2 linked regions of the Astyanax mexicanus genome follow. Each later gene encodes a partner of the first gene's protein in a complex. Links are inferred from orthologs where the notes say so. Each region holds a gene or a part of one and is shown in the gene's direction. Other genes may lie near its edges.

Evidence for each region. The genes of interacting proteins can lie anywhere in the genome.
Region 2: the proteins of sec31a (region 1) and pdcd6 are in contact, whole or in part, in a crystal structure (PDB 3WXA), measured with the Homo sapiens proteins. The link is inferred for Astyanax mexicanus from reciprocal best matches to the Homo sapiens genes SEC31A and PDCD6. Residues at the interface, in NP_001070675.1 of Homo sapiens: Asn837, Pro838, Pro839, Pro840, Pro841, Gly842, Phe843, Ile844, Met845; in NP_037364.1 of Homo sapiens: Val31, Val35, Leu48, Ala51, Leu52, Ser53, Asn54, Gly55, Thr56, Trp57, Phe85, Trp89, Ile92, Gln96, Phe99, Phe148.

What each region holds. Positions count from the first base shown.
Region 1 is NC_064427.1:26,910,289-26,921,318, reverse strand, and holds the start of sec31a (protein transport protein Sec31A), read left to right. Parts: upstream 1-6,045; 5' UTR 6,046-6,246; intron 6,247-9,184; 5' UTR 9,185-9,185; coding exon 9,186-9,264; intron 9,265-10,716; coding exon 10,717-10,840; intron 10,841-11,030. UniProt on the Homo sapiens protein: Component of the coat protein complex II (COPII) which promotes the formation of transport vesicles from the endoplasmic reticulum (ER).
Region 2 is NC_064413.1:886,742-898,461, reverse strand, and holds the start of pdcd6 (programmed cell death protein 6), read left to right. Parts: upstream 1-7,365; 5' UTR 7,366-7,623; coding exon 7,624-7,706; intron 7,707-11,720. Other genes in the region: rec8b (REC8 meiotic recombination protein b), read right to left, coding at 557-638, 718-799, 1,559-1,626, 2,188-2,260, 2,580-2,700, 3,134-3,209, 4,089-4,231, 5,043-5,111 and 1 more. UniProt on the Homo sapiens protein: Calcium sensor that plays a key role in processes such as endoplasmic reticulum (ER)-Golgi vesicular transport, endosomal biogenesis or membrane repair.

The sequences.
Region 1 (11,030 bases):
AGAAAAAGAAAAAGCGAGAAAGGAGGGGCTAGCAGGAGGAAGAACGCACCACTAAAATCCACTGTTATAATTCCCAGATTTAGCTGTTATGACCAACTTCCATGTTTACGTGCCTCTGTTCTTATCAGTTGGCTCTTGCTCACTGGTTCACAGATAACAACTCCTAATAATACTAATTGTCATAATAATTCTCAAACACATATATAATACTTACTTAACCCTTATTCATAAACTCATAAGCTTTTTCTCCTCATTTCAAGACTACCACTTATTTGTATTACTTCATATACTCATTTAATTACCCTAATCTATTAATTATTTATTATCGGCCATTAGACACAAAACATACAACATATAACATACAACACATAACTACACACACACAGACAGAGTGAGACAGAGAGAGAGCCTCACACAGCTAAAGACAGAGGCCCCAAAACCATCAATCACCCTACACACACTCACACACACACTCACAGACTCATACAGGCCTTTCACACACACACAGTGGCCAACACTTCTTCCACACCAAAAATAAGAAAGTCGACTCTTTAACCATTTTCCCTTTTTTATTTTAAATTTATTTATTTTTTTCTCCTGCAGGTTTCCTATCTCTTTTCTTAACATATTTTCTTTTTTCTTTGCTAGCTTCTTTTACTGCTGTCACTGCAGTATTCCTCTCTATTTCTTTTTCTTTTAATCCTTTTTTCCTTTATTCTCTTTTAAGGCCTTTTCACACTTTTTCCTCTTTCGCATGCGTTTTAATCTCTTCTTCTTCTTCTTCTTCTTAAAAACACATAAATACCTTTTTCAGTCAACTTTCACATAGATAATGCACGCTAAAGCCGGGTTTGGGGACACGTCTTATAGAAAATCACGTATAGTCTTACGCCGCCCTGAAGACTATATTTCACGCATGCCGTACAATACTTGTTACTAGTTACTGTATTTTTTTTTCCTTCTTCTTCTTTTGACGTCATTCCTATTTCTCTTTTTTACTCTTCTCTTTATTCTTCACTTTTTCCTTTAACTCTTTCTCTTTTACTTAATTACTGCAGTTGTACCCCTTCTAGTTAAAATACTTTTACCCCAATTTAGAACAAAGCATTATCCCATACATCTACACAGCATGACAGCCACGCATGGAGCAGGCTTTTCCTCTGCGACCCAAACAGCCACACACACACTTCACCACTTCCACCAGCGCACATGTGAAAAATGCTTACCTTCCTTTGCCGGCTGTAGCAGTGGTGGAAGCACTGAAGCAGTATGAAAGCACAGGCCACAACGAGAGTCCCATCTGGGGTGCCATTTTCTGTAGAATCTTGAGCTGTGATGCCATGTAGATGCATGAAATAAGTCTTTGCTGATACTGTTCTTTGTATATAAGAAAATTTATTACAGAAAAAAGAATAATTAGTACAAAAGATAACAGCATCATTAACAAGCAAACCGGTTTTGCTTGGAGAGAGGTTCCCAAATCTGATCCCAAGCTCTCTCTGGCTGGAATTGCTGAAGTCCAGCCTTTATGTTTAAAAACACCTCACAGCTGGAAACACTTAACATACGCTCCTATAGCGCACATACATAGAACATACACAAGTTAGTTTGACGCAATGCATGGGAGGGGAAAGAAGTGCTCCCCCATACTAGCCTATGCTTAAAAAAAACAAATGTGTTTAAGTTAGGGCTTACTCCATCTGTTCCCTGTGGTCCAGTGGCCATTCTGTGTGGAAAATATATATGATAATGGTGAATATGGTGAATATCCCATGTGTTTACAACTGTGTATGCTCAAATATACGTCACTCACCAATCCGCTCTGAATGTTTCCAGTCAGAAAATCCATGAACAAAAGTATTGTGCTTACTGGAAAACAGTTTGCAAGCAAAACAATACACACAGCCAGTTGAAGGAGAGTAAAGTAGCCACTGCCTAGTCACAGTTTGCCCATTGGGTAGAGAGCAACTGAGTAGAGCATTTGTAAAGCTCCTACTGGTACCCCCAATGCCTCTATCCCTGACTGAGGCTGGGTACTTAGCACTTCTGTTTTGAAATGCAGTTTCTCCTCTACTAACAAGAATCGACTTGGCTTGGTCGGTAATGGTACTGGGCCATAAAGCAGGGTCGTTGACCGTTTCACACCAGGAGTTGGGGTCCTTGCCCTCCTCATTTGAAAAACGACACTCACACGATGCAGCTGGCTGGTCTGATTGTGGGTCTGACACACCTGCAACTTTCCTTTCATGGTCTTTCTGCTGCTGGTCTGTGGTAGCCTGCCAGGGCTGGCATTCCTGCTCTGCACCTGACTGGGTCTGCAAAGGTACATAGTCACTGACAGGTGACACTAAGCCAGTGGGGATCACATCTTCATTGCTAGAACTCTGATCACTGCTAACATTAGCAATACTTGTCTCACTCATATTGAGCGGTTTCTCAAAGAAGTTTGAGATCAAAGGTACGCTTTTCAGGAAATCTGCCTGATTTGCTTCCTTAATCTTTTTTGCTTTTCTTTTTGAGGCACCACTTTTGTGTTTGGGATCCATGTTATTAATGGCAAGTGTTTCTTAAGATGCAAATATAGAAGCTTGTCTTGCAAATTCCTATTCCTATCCAATACTTACTATGTTGTTTCTATGCTGTATGTTCAGGAAAAAAATACAATCACAAAATTGTAGAACCAGATACAATATGTAATAAAAAAAGGCTGACCTATAACTATTTAGCTATAAATTGTTGTTATTGTAAATGTATTGTATGTATGTACTATTATAAAGCTTACACTTCTACTATTATCAATAATGTAATATGCAAATAACAATAAGCTTTTAAAAAAGCTGTGAGTTGCTAGTTAGCAACGTTACACTAGCCTTGAAAAAGGCTGTGAACCTTTCAAAGTTTAATATAGTAAATATAGTAATGTAATATTATATCATGTAATATAATATAATATAATATATAAGCCTTTGAAAAGACTATGAAAATAATGTAACAGAATATATGCAATATAGTATAGTATAATATAATATAAAAATATTTATATATATTATAAAATAATATAATGCAGTATAAAGGGCAATGAGCCTTTAAAAAGGCTGTTGGTTGCTGATCAGGTAATAGCAAAGTAAAAGTTGTAGTAAAAGCACAGACCAAGTTTGCAAGCTGAACTGTCTGAATGTGAGGAGTTTTGATACTGGCAGGGGGTTTTATATAGATCTTGCATATTCACTTGGAAGTTCTCGCAACACCTGATTGGCTCAGCCCCCGTGGGAATTTAGGGCAATGTAACAATTTTTCACCACTGAGTGAGAGGGTGGGGGAGGGGCAGCCTTGCCCCTCTCTCTCTCTCTCTCTCTCTCTCTCTCTCACACACACACACACACACACAAAACAGCATTTTTGTAGTAGATAGTCTACTACAAAAATGCTGTTTTGTGTGTGTGTGTGTGTGTGAGAGAGAGAGAGAGGCATGGAGAGGGACACAGGGGGAAGGTTTTAAGTATATTAAAAATGCTGTGTTAATGAGATTAAATCAAGTTTAATTATTGTCAAGACCCCTTCACACTGCCTTGAAACATGTCAAGTCATGTCAAACTGTCATTGAATAGTCATTGAATAACAAGCTGAATAAAATATGTTTTCCAATAAATAATCCTCAAACAAAATATCAGGGTTACACGCATACGCAGCCACAGCTACTACAACAAAACCACTTGCTGTTTCATCATCACCAAACCAAAATTGTGCTACTCAGTAAAATTAGCTTGCAGTTCTGTTGTATGAAAAGGCACTTTTCCTTTCATGCATTCCTTCAGAACTAGAGTGACCACTGGTCTCTTTACTGTTGTTTATTAAAGGGGAAACATGAAACTAGTCAAATGGCTTGTTGTTTTCACATAAGTGAAATCACACCCTTGGCCAAATTCAGTCAATTTAATCGGTGTCAAAGATAGCATTCATCAGACAAGCAATTTTGTCTTAAATTTAAATAATTGCAAAATTGCTAAATTAATTTGTGTCTCTGCGCTTAAGAGAAAGTGAACATAATAAGTTTGAAACAATACAAATTCAGAAACATTAAGTAAGGGCCTGAATTTGTAGTTCCCTAAAAAGTCAAGGAGCCATGGTAAACGACTTCTATGGAAGTCAAGGGCCCCATAGCAGGGGCCCTCGTGATCAAGGGCCCTCTAATGGTATGCTCTGCTCTTCTCTAGGGCCCCCTGGTAGGGGCTCTCATAACCAGGGCCCTCTAAAAATATGCCCCCCTCTTTCCTAGGACCCCTAATAGCCAGAAGTCGAAGTCAGAGCAGTGCCACAACGCCTCATCCATTTTCCTAAGGGGCCCAAAAGCATGGCTAGGGCCCCCAAAAGCATGGCTAGGGCCCCCAAGAGGCTATGGGGTCAAATCCCTAATAGTCAGAGGATCCTTAAAATGGAGGGCCCTCGGGAATAAAAATACATTGTACCATAAATGTTGATAGGCATCGCAAAAAGTTTTCGGCCAGGGTCCCCCTGGGGCCCCCTGACCTCAAGGGCCCCTGGGCGCTGGCCCCACTGGCCCGGTCAGTAATCCAGCCATGAGTGATGGTATAGTTACTTTGAAAAAGTAATCCGATTACTGATTACTGATTACTCCTTAAAAAAAGCTTAGTTACTTTATGGATTACTTGATTTTAAAAGTAACTAAGTTACTTTACAAGTTACTTTATTAGTTACTTTAAGCAGCTGCACACACCACGTCCCGTCGCCTTAACTTAAAAATTATAACCAGTTTTGCCAATACTCCCTTTACTGGAAAAAAAAGCATTTTTAACAGCATCAATGTATCTCTAGACATTTAAAGTTGAACTATTTATTTTTATAAAATTAAAAGACCATTTCTCTTGAATTAACTTAACATAAATATTTTTTTTTATAAAAAATAAAATATGGTCTTTCTTGATTTCACTTAACTTAAATACTTGTTTTTATAAAAAAATATAAAATATTGAAAGTCTTTCTTGACCTGACATATTTAACACTGTAAAACTGAACATTGAACCTGTTGTTCTCTGCAGGGCAGCAAGGAGTGGTATTATAAAACAGAACCGTGTATATGGTCGAGGCCAGGGATCACATATATGCAGACTGCGGTCCGGGTCCGGACCTAGATGTTGTCCAATGCGGAGCCAAACCGATAAACTACTGAGAAGGATTTAATTCTGACAGTGTTCATTTAAAGCGTCAGAACTTTTCTTGTCTTTATGGTATGCGCTCTGCGGCACGGGAAACTTGCAGACCAATCACGTGTGGTGTAAAATCTTCAAACGCTCTCCTCTGCCAATCAGATCTGTGCAGACCGCTGCGCTGGCTAGTGAATTGGGACGCGGCCGGGAAAAACCGCCTTTATAAAGAGATAGGGAGCCCGAGAACTGGCGAAAAAACGAGAATGGGCGGAAACTAAAGACACGCCGAGCGCGAGAGAGAGAGACAGGGGAGAAAGCGAGACGCGTGTGATTGGGGGAGAGCGGAGGGGGATGGGGAAGGGAACGTGGTGTGTGTGTTTGTGTGTGTGTGTGTGTGAGTGTGTGTGAGGGTGGAGAGAGAGAGAGAGTAACGCACAGTGACTTGGATAAGTAACTTTAATCTGATTACTGCATTGGAAATAGTAACGCGTTAGATTACTCGTTACTGAAAAAAGAGTCAGATTAGAGTAACGCGTTACTGACATCACTGGTGTTGACATATTATAGATGGTGATAAACTCCAAATGTACACACACACACACATATATATATATATATATATATATATATATATATATATATATATATATATATATATATATATATATATATTACCCAGTACTATTAATGTATGTTTATGTACACACAAAAAAAAATATATATATATATATTTAGAAGAACACAGGCTCCCAGTCGGTCACGTAGTCATCTAGAGAGACGTGCACTAGTACAGTACGTGCACTAAATAGGGGGTAGGGAAGAATTGGGACGCGCCCGCCTGCGCTGACTGGCTGGCTGAGCGGAAGTGCTGTTCTGGGGGAGGGCAGTATTGTGCCACGTTGATGGAGGAGGCCAGTGGGGACGTGGAACTGTTCCTATGTGTAACCGGGCCAGCCGCTGACTCTCTGCACACAGTTTACTAACCCGAGAAAAAGGATTTCTGAGCCGCTGATTAAAGTTTTACCCTGTTCAGACCGCGTGGATGAGCTGTGCATGCCTGTGAGCAGCGACCAGAGGGAAGGTAAGCACTTTTTGGAGTGTTGGGGGAGATTTAGAAGCTCTGTTAGCTGAAGCTATCTTTAGCTGTTAGCTACAGTACAGTTAGGGCTGTGTTATGTAGCCAGGAAGACTTATTTAATATTAATACTACTCTAAATATTGTTGAGAAGCAGATTGGGTTGTTATAAAGGAGTCAGTGAGGCAGTAATAGTGTGTTTTTGTGCTCTGGGCTGCAGTAGCTGCCTTGTTTAGCTAGGTCAGTTAAGCTGCAGCCTTAGTACCTAACTAACTAACTAATTTAGTTACCTAGACCTAATATTAATCATCAAGATTAACTCATTATTATTTCCAACATTCTGTACATCTATCTAAACTAGCTACTTTGCTTTATATGTCTTTAATACTGTGCTTTTGATTGTTGCCACACTGTCCTAGCTAACCTTAAATCTGCACTAGCTCAATTCATTTGATTTGTTTACCCATGATAGCAAAGAACATTGAATAAACGTTAGCTAATTGTTTGTTTACATTAGATACATAGTTTAATGTTGATTTATAGCAAAACAATTTTAACATAGCATCATAGGCATACTGTTTATTAACATCTGGATTATTTAGCTTGTATGCTGCAGCCTAGTAGGAAGTTCTGTTATCTAACCTAGGATTGGTTAATTTAGACTTAATTCTAGCTAGCTAATGTTTTTTTTTTCAGCATCCTGTACAGCCTTCTAAACTAGCTACTTTGCGTTATAGCCTATGTCTTTAATACTGTGCTATTGTTGCCTAACTAACGATTCTAGCTAACCTTAAATGTGTGCTAGTTTAATTCATTTGATTTGTTTACCCATGATAGCAAAGAACATTTGAATAAACGTTAGCTTATTGTTTGATTGCATTTGATACATATTTTAAAGTTGATGATTAAAATTAACCTTAGTTTAACATAGCACCATACTGTAGCCGGCATGCTGTGAAATGCAGAAATTTTGAAATTGACATTGAATCCAGGGTAATTTAAAGGGTTTCAATGGTTGGGGCTCAGAAACTGCTCTCACTTTAATTCAACATGAGTATGTTTAGTTAGTTATGTTGTTTAATCATGTCTTAGTAGGACTGATCAATCATAACCTTAACTAGCTAGTTAAGATGTTGTAACAGCTGATCATAGTTGCCAGAATTTGCTATTCATCTGCTGAAATCTCTTCTGTTTTACCCCAGATTGTACAATCTGAGCTGGGGCAATCCATAGGCCACGTAATCATCAGTGTTTTTTAGGCACCACTTTGATAATCTAGGGCCAGGCTCTATAGCTAGCTAACATTTCACCTTCTTCCTAAAGTTTGGTCTGCTCCATCAGAGCATTCGTAATCCAGTCTGTCACCAAAACGTGTTCATGCACTCATAGGAATGCTGGACCTGTGTTATGAATTCTTTAGCACTGTAGTTTGGGCCTACCTGACTGATCCACCAATTGTAAAGCTAAGTAAATGGTTCACCATAGTGGAACTGTAGCTAATAGTACCCCTGCGTTGTAATGCAGGGTTATATTCTAAGTCTAGTTCTAGTCAGATTATAGTTCCAACATGCCTCCATGGCTTCAGATGCTCCAGAAGGTCTTCAATAACAAGATTAGCTGGGCTAGATTAGGATTGGAGTTTAAACCCCTCAAGGCAGCAGATCACCATGACTGGGATTGGGATTCCTTGCATGTTATTACGTTTTTTTCCCCTGTTCAAACACACCAGTTCAGCTCAGGAACAGCTTGTTAAAGGGGATTTATAATAATTTAGAGTGATTTGAACTTTGAAGTAAAATATATTTTACTTTAAAGAATTCTGGATAATGGGGACTAGGACTAGGCAATAAAGTTTTATTTCTGTCTTTATAGTTGCTTTCAAACATAACCAGTGAATTTGTCTGTCCTTAATTTTGTTTTTATGTTTACAGTGCTAAAATAGTGTTAAAATAAAAATCTGTCTTTAATCTTCTGTATAACACCTTACATGCACTGCCTTACCTTTATTGAATTATAAAATATATTTTAGGCCAAAAATCTTAAAGAAAACTGAGATCTCAAATACAACTTCAAAACTACGGTAAAACAGTTTATCAGGTAATAGGCATCATATGTGATGCTTTGAAAATAGGGCTGCATGATTTCTGCAATGAGGAATGGGGGCCAATATGGATAGAGTTGGATGTATAAACAGAATGAGAGTATTACCTTAAAATGGATTTCAGGTATACAGGCAAAAGTGTAAAAAAAAAAAAAAAAAAATCTGAATGAACTTGGAAAAAATATCCAGCACAAACAGTGGACATATGTGTCCTTTAATATGTAATGTTTACAATGGTGAATTAGTGGCAAACTAGAAAAATATGTAATATATAATATCTTTATCTTGCTTAATAACCCCCTACCTTGTACTACCTTTCCATAAATGAATGAAAACAAAAATATTATGCCAATTTTTTGAACTATGTGAAAACAATGTTTCAGGTATCAGAAATCATATTCCTATCTATTTTACCTAACTTAATGTGATTTAAGTTTAGGTTATGGTCCTATGAGCAAGGTTGGAATGAAGGAATTGAGATGTAAAACAAGAGATTTTGAGATTTCAGTACAAAAACTAAAATCTGACTGCAAATATTACTATTGATTGTTTGTGGCCCTGTTAGAAGTATAAAACTATTAAGATGTCTGGTTCAGACTGCTTTTCCAGACCTCTCTTACCACCAACACAGTTGGTGACTCAAAAGTTCTGACTTAACAGGCCCTTTCCACAGAGCTTTACACCATTCCTTTGGTAACATTCTCCTTCAATGAATTACACGTACGTATAATTATAAAGCCTTTTCTAGTAGTACTGTGATATCCATCAGCAGGCTGTTTGCGTTAACGGATTTTAACCTCACAGTGTCAGTTGATAACACTTCTGTGATTGTTGTGGTTGTAGGATGAAGCTGAAAGAGATAAACCGCACTGCCATACAGGCTTGGAGCCCGGCACAGCACCACCCCATTTACTTGGCAGCAGGTAACTCATATACACTGTAGTTTCTGAGCTGAAGACTTGTATGTGACTGTTTTGGGAAGGCAATAATCTTCTGTATTGGGGTACATGTATAGTATTTTTCCACAAGTCACAAAGGTCTGCAGTGTAGGCCATAAAATATTCAGAAGAAGTTATTTGTTGCATGAATAATTATGATTAATAATTTAATTGGCTTTTCCATTAGTGGTGGTATTGTACATTTTATCCAGCTACTAAACTGCAGGTCTGAAGTAACAAACGTTGCTTTTGGAGTTTAGCAAATGTATTAGTTGTCTCTTTGCTGCCTAGTTACCAGTGATAGCAGTTCATCCTTTGTTATACTAACATAACAATATGTACGGTATGTACAGTATCTGTGTTGCCTAGAATACTGTATAGATACCTTGCCTTATTTGTAGAGTCAAGTACATCTTAACATGTAAACAAAAACAATTGTTCTACTAGCTAACAGGTTTAGCCTTAGCTGCCTTGTTTAAGCTAAAATATACATCTCTACACTGCTTTTTTTGTTTACATATTTTGGCCACAACCAATTTTTCCAGTCACGATTGCCTCTATACCAGCTGAGCTGTAGTATTGCAATTGCTAATTGCTAATCAGTTCTATAGCAAAATGTTTAGCTATCATCATTTGAATAGCACATTTCAAGTATTCAGATTCAGCTTAAGACAGCACTATATTTACCAATTTGCCAATGCTGTCTTACAAATCAGTGTTTTAAAATACAGTTTAGTGAGCAAGGTCTCTATAACCGAAGGCAGAAAGGCAGAAATACATCTACTATCATTATGCATTAGCATTTTCACCCAGTAAAATAGACGTCTAATGTAGCTAGTATTTGGTAGGTGCAAAACTCACTGAATGCATTAACATACTGTATTTAATGGGTTTCAGATTTTTGTTGTTTGATTTATTAAGCTACCTAGGAAACTATGTTTTTATGTAACTAGCTTATGCTAAAGTTGTGCATATGGATGCTAGCAGAACGAGTGATTATGTCTCTGTCCAAAGAAAAACAAGTATCTACATTTCTGTTGATTTTTAGTTTACTATATAATTAACACACAACTTTCCCTTACAATGTGGCATTTTCGCAATGAATTGACCAATACAAATTCTCTAGATTATCTGAAATACATTTTTTTTTACATTGACTTCCATTGAAAGCTAAGAAGGTTTTATCTCTCTCCTGTAAAATTGCTGTTATGGAGATATGTTTTGCAGTGCACAGCTACAATATTCTGCTTGTTGCAACATAATCATTGTGATTTACCTAATTAATCACAGTACCCTCAGATCCCAGATGGGTTCAGCAGATAAATAATGGTAAACTCTGTGTTTTACCAGTGTTTGCTAAAGCCATTTGCCTCTCTAATGTCCATTTGTATGCAACCAAATGTTTCTCACCTGCTGTTCTCATCTGCTCCTGCTCAGGCACGTCTGCTCAACAGCTCGATGCTACCTTTAGCACCAATGCCTCCCTGGAGATCTTTGAACTGGACCTGGCCGAGCCCAGTTTGGCCATGAAGTCGTGTGGTGCTTTCTCCTCACCTCAAAGGTCTTTCTTTTTTCTATTACCAATGACCTGCTGTTGTCTTATTGTCGATCCAGTGTCTAGTGCTGATGGATTTGTTTCAATCTAGTTTCACTGTAGCCTTTTATTTGTGTATCTACTGATAACCTGTGTGTGAAATAGATTTTTACTGAATCTAAACTATGTAATGTTCTTATAGTGAAACATAATTGGA
Region 2 (11,720 bases), on another chromosome or scaffold:
AAAAAACATAAATAATCAGAATAATAAAAGATAACAAAAGAATTAATAAAAAGAAGACCAAAAAAAACGAAGTAGCATAAAATAACATTAAGATTTTAAAGAAAGTAAAGTGTAAAATAACACTAAAACACTAAGATTATAAAGAAAGTAAACGATAGAACTAAAATAAAAAAGGTAAAACAGAAAATACAATAAATAAAGGGGGAAAATTATTAAATAAATAAAAAGATAGAAGTTTAAAAGTTAAAACAGAAAATAAGATCATAAAAAAAGGAAAAAATAAAAAATAAAAAGACAAAAGGCCAAAAGGTAAAACAGAAAATAAGATAAATAAAGGTGCAAAATTAATTAAATAAATAAAAAGACAGAAGGCCAAAAGGTAGAACATAAAATAAAATAAATAAATGGACTAAGTAAATAAAAAAGACAGTCAGTAGTGTGAAATCATTTTTAGATGATTTTGGCCAATCACAGAAAGTTAAGGCAGGCAATCGTCAATAATTATGCAATAGAATGAAGCTGTTGTATTGTAATGGAATCTGACTATTCTACTCACTGCTCTATGGAGACCATGGCAGCCCCCAACTCTCTTGTTGTCTCTCCATCTCCTGCCCTCTCTCTTTCCTTATCCTCCACTTCTGTAATAGAGAGACTAATATATGAGAAAAATCTGGATACTCATTCTTTAATGTGCAAAGACCTTTTCATCTACTTCACCTCCAAGGAAAAACCGATCTTGCTGCTCCATAAGCAGGTCGATCTCGTAGGCTGTGGCCTCAGGTAGCTCTGCCCCTCCAAACTAAGTATTAAGGGAAAGAAGACGATAGAAATCAAGAGCCAGTGATGCATGTGGGTGAGAAAAGGTCATATACAGACTATTATGACTATACTATTTCTCAACTAGATTGTGGCCATGACTCAGAGTAACGTGGGAACTAATGTAGGCAGACTATTATTAATATATTATTATATATTAATATTATGGGCAAAAAGAGATCTCATGATTAGCTGTTTACTCAACTTGCTCTCCAAAGCGAGGGAATTTTATGGAAAAGAAGACCAGAAATCTGGACTAATGCCAGGTTTATACTATACGTCTTTTCTGTTATTGTAACTTTTACATTTTCATTTCTTACTGAAGAAATGAAAACCAACATTAAAGCCACACCTGGACGGGATTAGTCTCTTAGGGGGACGTCTGGGTAAAATATTTTTTTTCTCAGTCACATGACATCGCGGTGTTCAGTAGCTCCTCCATATCCACTCGCTGTTGTGTTTTTAACGTGGATCTCCGTGGAAACCGTGGGGCGCCCAAAGTGTAATTACGGTGCGTGGCAGTGAACAAATAGCTATTTTATTAAAGGCGAGGAGACGAAACTCAGAGATGTGCGTCCGGACAGGACTAAAATTACCGGAGGAGCACGGAGTTCAGAGAAAAACAGTCTGAGAAAAACACCTACATGATCGTTCCCCCCATAAAAGAGGAAATTACCCCAGAACCCCCTGAGAAACTAATCCCATCCGGATAGGGCTTAAGTAAGAGTTTACTAAATCTTACCTCAGCAGTGAGGATAGGCACCGGTTCCTTATCTCTGATGGTAATTGTTTCAGGAGAGGCTATGTGGCCTTAAGAAATGGAAGATTATGTTTTAGCAAGGTAATGATAATGTGCTTACTGTACATCAAACACACAAGAAGAGTGAGAGAGACAGATACAAAGCAACACTAGATAAATTAGAAAAGAACCAATACTAATACTTTCGGTCATCAGGGCTTTGCCCAAAAACGTCTGGTTAAATGCTAAAGTTCAAAAATGTTTGGCTCAATTGAGAAATTCCAGAAGCTTTCGACTAAATGGTGAATTGCTAATACTTTACCTGATTGTAATGGTTTGAGAGGTACATTGCCTGAAACTGGTTCTATTTGTATATAGAATTGTGTGGTTCTGGATTTAAAAAGTAACCTGTATAACTGTTTTTATTATTTATAGCTTAAAGACACTTTTGAATGGAATCCTATGGGTAAAAACATTTATTGTATGAAAAAAGAAAATAGTTAGGTTATAGGTGCGATCACCCTTCAAAATTCTATGTAAAGAGTAAAGGATTTTTTGGGAAATTCAGTAAATAGAATAATGAAGAGTAAGTTGGCTTTCTCAATTCAACTTTTTAAATGTTTATTTCTTACCTAAACCAGGTGTGTCTTCCTTAGTCAGCTTTAGAGGGCATTCTGGAGATGAAGCCATTATAAACAGACCAGCCTAAAAGTGAACAGTAAATCCATACAGGGTCTAAGATCACAATAAGGATATTATACAACGATCAGCCATAACATTATCACCACGGACAGATGTACTGAAATATCAGATCTGTTGTGGTAGCACAGGTAAGGCAGATCTGTGTATACAATTCAACACTGACATCATTATTTAAAGTTTTCTAGTCATAATGTTGCACCTACAATATGGACAGAACAAGACTGTTCAGCTTGAATATGATTTGAGCATTATTCTGGTGTTTCACTTTGTGAATCATGTGGGGAATAACTGCAATTTTCAGCACCGCTGCAAGTTTCCCAACCTGTGGCAGCTGGTAGGGACTGGGCATCTCACACTCGTCCCCCATTTTCCCAAAGAATGGTGCCAGAGCTCCCTCTGCCTCCTCTAACAGGAACAGCGAGTCTGGGAGGTTCAGACCCAGCCTGCAAGTCACAAGAGTTTTCAGTAGTTGCCACATAATGTTATAGATTAAATTCTTATAGATTAAAGTCCTTACAATTGCCTACAAGGTTTCCAAAAGACAGAGCTCTACAAAGGCCACATACTCTCCTAACACCTCTAACAAACTAACTAACTTAACTTTTAACCTCATTCCTGCTCCCCCTCCTCATTTCTTCCTCTATCACATTTTTGCCCTTAGGCCATGCCTAAAAAATGAATTGCCTTGGACTTTTATGTCGTTTATTGCTAAAGTACCTCATTTTTTGTGTCCCTTTGGATAAAATTGTCTGCTAAATGCAATGTAATGTAATGTCTTTTAAACCAAGCCATTCAAGAATAGTAGTATAAATCAGTCTATCAAGGTCAATCAAGATCAATAAAAGGTGATTTGACAGAGAGCTTGTTGAGTCTGACCTGTCCGGCTCCTGCATGTCGATCTTTGAGTGTCTCTCTGAGCGCAGCAAATGTCTGATGGCCTGCTGGACCTCCTCTTTGGATGGATCATGTAAACAAACATTACAATCAAATATTAATATTGAATTTACAAAGAGGCAAGCAGAACAAAACTGTTTTTGAGGCTTCTGAGATATAACCCTATACAAATACAATCTCTATATTATGTCTATGTCATATGATGTCTGAAGTACTGTTGTGTAAAGTTTTTTTAATTTTGATGATCTGTCTACATTGGTAGTGAGAAGGCGCTTTGATTTATATGATTTATATTTTACATTATGGACTTTATGTTGTCTTTCTAATTTTGTGAGGCTTATTTGTGGGCATTGCTAAATATCACTTCCTCATCTTATCACCTACTACCCTCCACCTCCTCACATACATCTGCATGCCACCTACTATTGTGTTTTTCTAAGATATAGAGGGCGGACAGCAGCACAAACAGGAGGTGGCTGTACTGCGTTACATCATGCATCGCCATGTTGTTGCATTTACAAATTCACTCTAAATCTGCCTATAAACAGTATGTGTAGGATTTTCACAGGTTGAATAGCTTGAAAAGCATGAATAAAATAAAATTCTGTATATTTATTGTTTCAGTTCATATATATATGAAGAGGAGAGGGTGTTTGGTAGGATTAATAATGAAAAGAAAACAAGTTCATATTCAAAAAGAGTTCAAAAATCAGTATTTGGTGAAATAACCCTGGTTTTTAATCACAGTTTTCATGCATCTTGTCATCATGTTCTCCTCCACCAGTCTTACACACTGCTTTTGGATAACTTTATGCTGCTTTACTCTTGGTGCAAAAATTCAAGCAGTTCAGTTTGGTGGTTTGATGGCTTGAGATTATCCATCTTCCTCTTGATTATATTCTAGAGGTTTTCAATTTGGTAAAATTAAAAATCTTACCCAGCAGGAACCCACACTGTCGGTGGTAGACAAGTATCACCCCATACTGCAGCTGACAGGAGAGATATAGAGAGAATCGTGGGCGTGGCAGGCTGGGATGAATAGGTGGAACCTGGACTTTCACATAGTCAATTATGTCCTCACTGCACACACATACACACACACACACACACACACACAATTACACACATACTCAAAAAGGCCACCTTAAAACAGCTGGTAATTTCACGTTAAATTTATGATTGACTAATTGATGCAACATAAAAGAACTAGCTAATATTGAATTGACTGAAAATGACTTCTTCTAGAGATTTTACCTCTTGTGACTTTTCACATCCCTAACAAACAAAAATGTATTTAAAAGATTTCTGGTGCACTACAGTGTGATCACAGCCAACCAATGTGACTGATACAGCCTCTCAAATCAAAGCCTACAGACAAATAAATCAGCTACTTTAATAGAGGTTAAGTAAGTGCAATTAACATTCACTTACTTTGATTGCACTCAATAATACATCATGTAAATCGTGCAGGGAACAGTGAAGAATGGTTGACATTACGCTTAAAGGCCAAAACCAGACTACACTCTCACTAGACAAATTATCTGACTAATTGATAAACACACAGGTTTCTGAATATATGAGAAATATATTTCTGACACTATATATTGTATGGCTTAGGAATAGAAGAAACTGTAAAATCAACAAATAGGCACCCAAATTTCTACTATTTTCACATATAAATAAAGTATCACAAAACTAAAACCATACAATATATCACAATATTGATATTTTGTCCCACCTCTACTCATCCTACTATATTTAAAACCATTTGGAGACACATTGGTTAGCTATGAAGGTTTCCAGCGTTTTATATATCACCTATGATTCACATGCCTATAAACCACCTGTTGATTATCAGAGTATATTGATACTAATTCTGAGGATTCTGTACCATGTTCTTCCAATGTTGACCTTGAGGAACTCTCTTCTTGTTATCTTGATACCTTTAGTGGCTGCCAACCTGTTAGTGGTAAGAGTAATAACAGACATTATAATTTCATCTGTGATAAATCATTTACACTGACTAACCTAGCTACATTATTAGGTTATTTTTATTTTTATTTTAAGTAATTTGGTCAGTCAGGTTAGACTATAATAACATAGTTAACATGCTCCTACAGCTTAGGTAGCTAGATGTTTAGCATTAGCACTAGCTATGTTAAATGTATAAAAAAGTCATTTTTATTTTACATTTTTAAATATATGTTTATTTATCAAAATAACCTGTGACCTTTGGGTATTAAAATGTCAACTTACTTCAGCTAGCATTAGCTTATAGCTTAGCTAAAAATGACCTCAACTGTGACTGATTTATATTAACTGTGTGGAATACTGAAGGTATTTGGTATATTGTGCTCCAGCAGTTAGCTAGCTAGTTAGTTCGCACTAGCTATGCCAAATGTATAAAGATTTAATTTTCATTATACTTACAGACTTACAGACTTATGGTGACTAGGAAAATATGTAAATTTACTTTAGCTAGCGTTAGCTTAGCTAGTTAGCTTAGCTAGTTAGCTTAGCTAAAAATTACCTCAGTGGTGACTGATTTATTTTAGTAACTTAGCTTGCCTATCTAGATTGATGAATTCTATTTAATAAATATTTAACTGTAATATCCCTTATGCTGTAAAAGTCTCCTATATTAGGGAAAATGACAACTGTGTAAAATACTGAAGGTAAATTATATGGTAAGGTTATACTGTGCTCCTGCAGTTAGCCAACTAGCTAACCTAGTTATTTAGCACTAGCTATGTCAAATGTATAAAAGTCCTTTTTTATTATATTTAAATTTATAAATATATAATTTTTCTTCTCACTATTATTTATCAAAATGTAAATCTTACCAGATTGTAGAGAAACAGCCAGTGTGGCGCTGAAGAACGTTAGGGTAGTAAAACATGTCAACTAGATTGTTAGCTTAGCTAGAATTTACCTCAGCAGCAACTGATTTATCTTGTTAGCTAACTTAACTAGTGTAACCTAGCACCATATACTACTGGTTTGTTGATCACAAAGTCTATTAAATAAATATTTAACTAATAAATATATTACCCTTATGCTGTAAATTAGCTAATTAAAATGTATATTTATTTTTTTAACTTGATCTGGCGGTTTCTGATAGCTAGTTAACTAGCTAGCTAATATTTAAAAATCTTCTCATGTCTGTTTATCCAATCAGCACTCAGCACGCACTGGACAACCAATCACACTGATTTCTGTTCATGTTGCTGTGGAACTCCCAAAAATATGGATTTTAATTGGATAATTTAAGTTTCTTTTAATTTTTTCATTATTGTTTTATATTACAACCAGACAGACAGAAAAACAGATAAGCAGCTAGATTCTTTATTAAGACATTTCACAGTTAATAGCAAATGTTCAACACAGCACAGAGGATATATTTACACTATACAGACACAAATATGTGTAAACTACACACAACTTAGTTATAAACATAAATATACCAACCAAAATACTTTGCTTCTTTTAACCATCAACAAGCTTCTTACGCCTCTCAGCTGGAATTTTGGACCACATATTATATATTAGTTTCTTCAAAATAGCCCCCTTTGCTCTGATTACTGCTTTACACACTCCTGGCATCATTATATCAATGAGCTTCAAGAGGTGGTCACCTGAAATGAAAAGTTTTCCATGAGTCTTGAAGGAAGGAAGGAGTTCCCAGAGGTGTTTATTAGCACATGTTGCTCCTTTGCCTTCTTCACTCTGTGCTCCAGCCCACCCCAAACCATCTGGATTGGGTTCAGGTCCGGTGACTGTGGAGGTTCAGCTCATTTTTTGGTTAAGTACATAAAACTCCACATGTGTTCATTCATAGTTTTGATGCTTCAGTGAGAATCTACAATGTAAATAGTCATTAAAATAATTAAGAAAACGCAATGAATATATATATATATATATATATATATATATATATATATATATATATATATATATATATATATATATATATATATATATATATAAGCTGCTATCTCAAGATAGATTGATATCTATATAGAGTTCAAATAGGAAGAAATACTAACATTTAGTTATCTCGTATTTTAGTTACATATGGTCTTAGTTACAATCTTTTCCAAACGGATAGAACTATCTAATATCTGTAGAAAACAGTAGAAAACAGGCTGTAATGTGATATAATGATATAATGTGAGAGTTACTCCACAAAGACTATTCATATTTTCCAGCGGCCGGTCAGAGTGGTTCAGCGCTGCGGCTCCGCCCCTTTAGCACAAAGTCTGCGCGCTGCCCAATCAGGAGGCTGGGAGGTGCCGCGGGACCAATTAGCGCGGTGCAGGCGCTGCGTCACTGCATTTTTTATTCGAAGCGGCGAGTTTTCCGCGGAGGCCCCGCCTCTGCGCGGAGAATGTCAGAGTCAGATTGAGGCTGAAGTTGAAGGACTACGCCTCGCGCTGCTGCTGCCTTTATTTTCCGCTTCGATTAGAGGAGAAATGGCTTATCACAACCAGTACAGACCCCCGCACTACAACCAGGCGCCGCCGGACCAGGCCTTTCTCTGGAACATCTTTCAGAGGTGAGAAAAAACAGCAGCGAGCCGCTACGCGCGCTGTTCCGCATTCAAAGCGCCGTCTATCCAACGTTAAAAACAACCCACCACTACCAACACCACCGACACAGCTAACCTTACAACCACTCAACTAACTAACTACCGACACAGCTACTCAACGTGCGGGCCGCAGCTGAGGTAGCGATCTAATCTCGCTAGTTATTACAGATTAACGTTAACGTTAGGTTTGTTAACGTTAGTGCGGTGGGCACAAGGGGGTGGGGGGGCACAGTGCTTTACTGTGCTTTACTGTGCCAAGTTGTTCTGAGCTTTACTACTAACCTTATTCTGTTAACATTAATATGAATTCAACAGGGATTTAGACATTTTGTGTTTTAACGTTACAGAAAACTTTAACGTTACAGATTTTGCTTTGAACGTCGTAGGTTGGCTAATTAACGTTACTTTTCTTAAAGCCTTTATGCTTTTTATGAGTATCCTAGCGACGGAGTAACCAGCTTTCTTTAGCTAACGTATATTGTTTACGTGAGATAAATAACTATAAAGGTTGAATAGACATCTAGTTAAATCTATCTTTTTTTCTGAGAGTTTCTAAACGCGGTGTTGTGTCGAGTTGTGCTACCCATCGGTACGTGCTTCCTACGGGCAATGCGCATGCGCTGACCTACACTTTTTTAAATAAAATTATTTAAATCTTAGCTAATTAAGATTTAGACTATCCAAAAATGGCACATAGCACGTACAGAAGGTAGAGAACAAGCTCTTATATGGTGCTTTTTCGTATTTTTTCCTTATCTATTCTTATATTTTGCCTTAAATATAGCTACACTAGGGAAGCACGTTTTGACAACGTAGCACAACTCGACAGAACATGGGTTCTGTTTTTTTTCTAACGTCGTTTCCTGGTTTTAGTCAGGATATTGCCTGCCTACACATCAGCCTGAGCATGAGTGTGTGAACTGAATGCCCACTGAATAGTTTATTTTTGTGTCTCTTTATTTAACCAGTTATCCAGTTAAAACACTTGATTTCAGACACGCAGGATCCTTCGTGACTTGTGTATCTTGTGTACGTAGCTCCAAAGAAAAGCGTAGGTGTGTTTTCTGTGTGTTTTTTTATTTATTTTCATTTTTAACAGCCCAGCCAAGTTGCCTCTCTGGTGGTAGTAGTGAATGTAGTGAATTATGTAATACTGCGCAGGGCTGGCTGCTGCTTTCTCACACATGTTGTAATAAACTGCTCTGGGCTCTGAAGGCAGATCTCGCGCAGGTCAGGTTTATGTCTCTACCTGAATTTACCTGGTTAAATTAGCTAGCTAACCTCGGTTACAGCAGCAGCAGCCGCAGAGCTACAGCTGATACTGTACTGCAACGTGGCCGTAAAGCCCCCAGCAGCTGGATAAAGCTGCTCACGGAACTCCGTGGAGAACTGCTGGAGACAGATCAGGCAATTACGAGGGTTTGCCCTTGATCATGTGAACTAAGGAGAGTAAAGGTCTCAGTGAGTCACTCACAGCTTCTCCTCCTTCTCTCCATTTTCTTCTCCTTTTTCCCCTTCTTTCCCTTTTTTACTTTTCCTATTCTTCCCATTTTTCTCCTTCTTCTTTTCCTTATTCTCTTTCTCTTTGTTTCTTTTCCTTCTTTTTGTTCAAACCTTGTTTTTTTCTTCTCCTTCTTTTCATTCATTTCCTTCTTTTTGTTATTTTCCTTCTTTTTGTTTTCTTCTTCTTATTATTCTTATTCTTAGTCTTCTTCTTTTCCTTCCTCTCCTTCTTTTCTTCCTTTTCCTTCTCTAGCTTCTTTTCATTCTTTTTGTTCAAACCTTCTTTTTCTTCAAACCTTTTTTTTTCTTCTCATTCATTCATTCATTCATTCATTCAATTTTTAGTTCATTCAATTATTCCTTCATTCTTCTGCTTCTTCGTCTTCTTCTTACTATTACTTATACTTCTTATTTCTCTTCTTTCTCTTTTTCTTCTCCTTCTATTCCTTCTTTTCCTTCTTCTCTTGCTTCCTTCCGTTCTTTTTGTTCAAACCTTCTTTTTCTTTTCATTCATTCATTCTTCGTCTTCTTCTTCGTCATCTTACTATTACTTATACTTCTCCTTATTTTTCTTCTTTCTCTTTTTTCTTCTCCTTCTATTCCTCCTTTTCCTTGTTCTCTTGCTTCTTTTCATTCTTTTTGTTCAAACCTTCTTTTTCTTTTCCATCTTTTCATTCTTCTTATTCTTCTTCTTCTACTTCTTCTACATCTTCCTTTCTCTCTTCTCCTTTCCTTCTTTCTTCCTTTTCCTTGTTCTTTTCTTCTTTTTTGTTCAAACCTTCTTCTTCTTCTTCTTCTTCTTCTTCTTCTTTTACTGCTTTTCTTTTTACTCCTTCCTCTTCTTCTTCACACTGTGGCTGTGACACAAATCAGTCTCCAAACATATCCTAAATAAACAGGAAGATTTCATCTGTCCTCACAATATTTAGCGTTGTAGCTGCTAAGCTATATTATACAGTATACATTGTATACAATATATTAGTATATGTTCTTATTTGTTTATCAGCTACCCACCCATGTGTTTGAACAAGTATGACCAAACACGCCGGTTGACCAGGAAGACCAAAATAAAATGCAACCTACAGATCAAAAACCATTTGGATGACCAGCCTTTTAACCACCTTTACCAACAAAGACCTTTAAATACTTTTAAAACTCTTAATAATCAAGTTTCATTTTCACACGTGTGTGCTAAACCTAGCACCTCCAGCATGTATGACCATTACAGAGGAGCTCTGAATAGGTTCCTTCTCAGGTTTCTTCTCACTCTGTCTGGAGGCACTTTCACTTTTTAGATTATCATGCTATGTATAAGCCACTCCCCCAACCACCGGTAACTCAGTATGAGCGGAAAATATAGGCATTCTACCCGTTTAAAAGTCCTAGTTATGTTTAATTTTCACACGTGTGTGCTAAACCTAGCACTTCCAGCATGTATGACCATTACAGAGAGGAACTCTGAATAGGTTCTTCTCAGGTTTCTTCTCACTCTGTCTGGAGGCACTTCCACTTTTTAGACTATCATGCTATGTATAAGCCACTCTCCAACCAACCTTGACTCAGTGTGAGCAGAAAATATAGGTATTCTATAGGTTCTTCTCAGGTTTCTTCTCATTCGGTCTGTAGGCACTTTCACTTTTCAGACTATTATGCTATTTATAAGCCACTCTCCAAGCAACGTTACCTCACTATGAGCAACGAATGTGAGATTTTGAGTGATTCGCTCAGTTTGGCAGCTTGCAGGCTGATTGCAGCAGTGGAAAACAGCAGTCATGTGAGGAAAGCTGGAAGTGGAAGTTTTACTGTAGCCTGTGTTCACCTGAATTCCAGGAAGCTGGAATGGAACAGAGCTTGCGTATGCAAAACAGATGGCGTTACCTAAGGGGAAGGATGTAACGGTAAAACGCTTTTACAGTAAAAAATGAACGTATCTGGAGTAGGCCAGTATTTCAGAGAAAGCTCAGAGAAAGCTCAGAAAAACTGTAGAATTTCGGACTCAGTATTCCTGTTGTCCCGTTGAGCGAATCATCCAATTTTCTTGGCCCGACATGAGTGAACAAGCAGCCGTGTGTTCAGAATTTGGTGGTTATGGAGACAGAGCACGCCCTTCTTGGACAAACAAACCAACAAGGTCTTCTATTCATTCCATCATGCTGAATCAGATTTTATATTTTTTTGGTGTAGCAACAGCTCAGGAGGCCCAGCTTGTAGCCGTGTGTTTTCTGAAGGGGTTTCCCTGTTTTTACTTCTTGAATACTGGATTTTTTGTTTGACTGTTTATCCAGGATTGTTGTCAGGCTGCTGGGGAATGTCTGACAACTTCACAAAAGTGTCGCACAGAGATCTGCTAAAGCATAATCAGGGTTCATACAGTCATGAAAAACCTGGAAAAGTCATGGAAGTCATGAATATTCAAAATCGCAATTTCCATGCCTGAATAAGTTTTGGAAAAATAAAATTAACCCAGAAAGTTTTAGA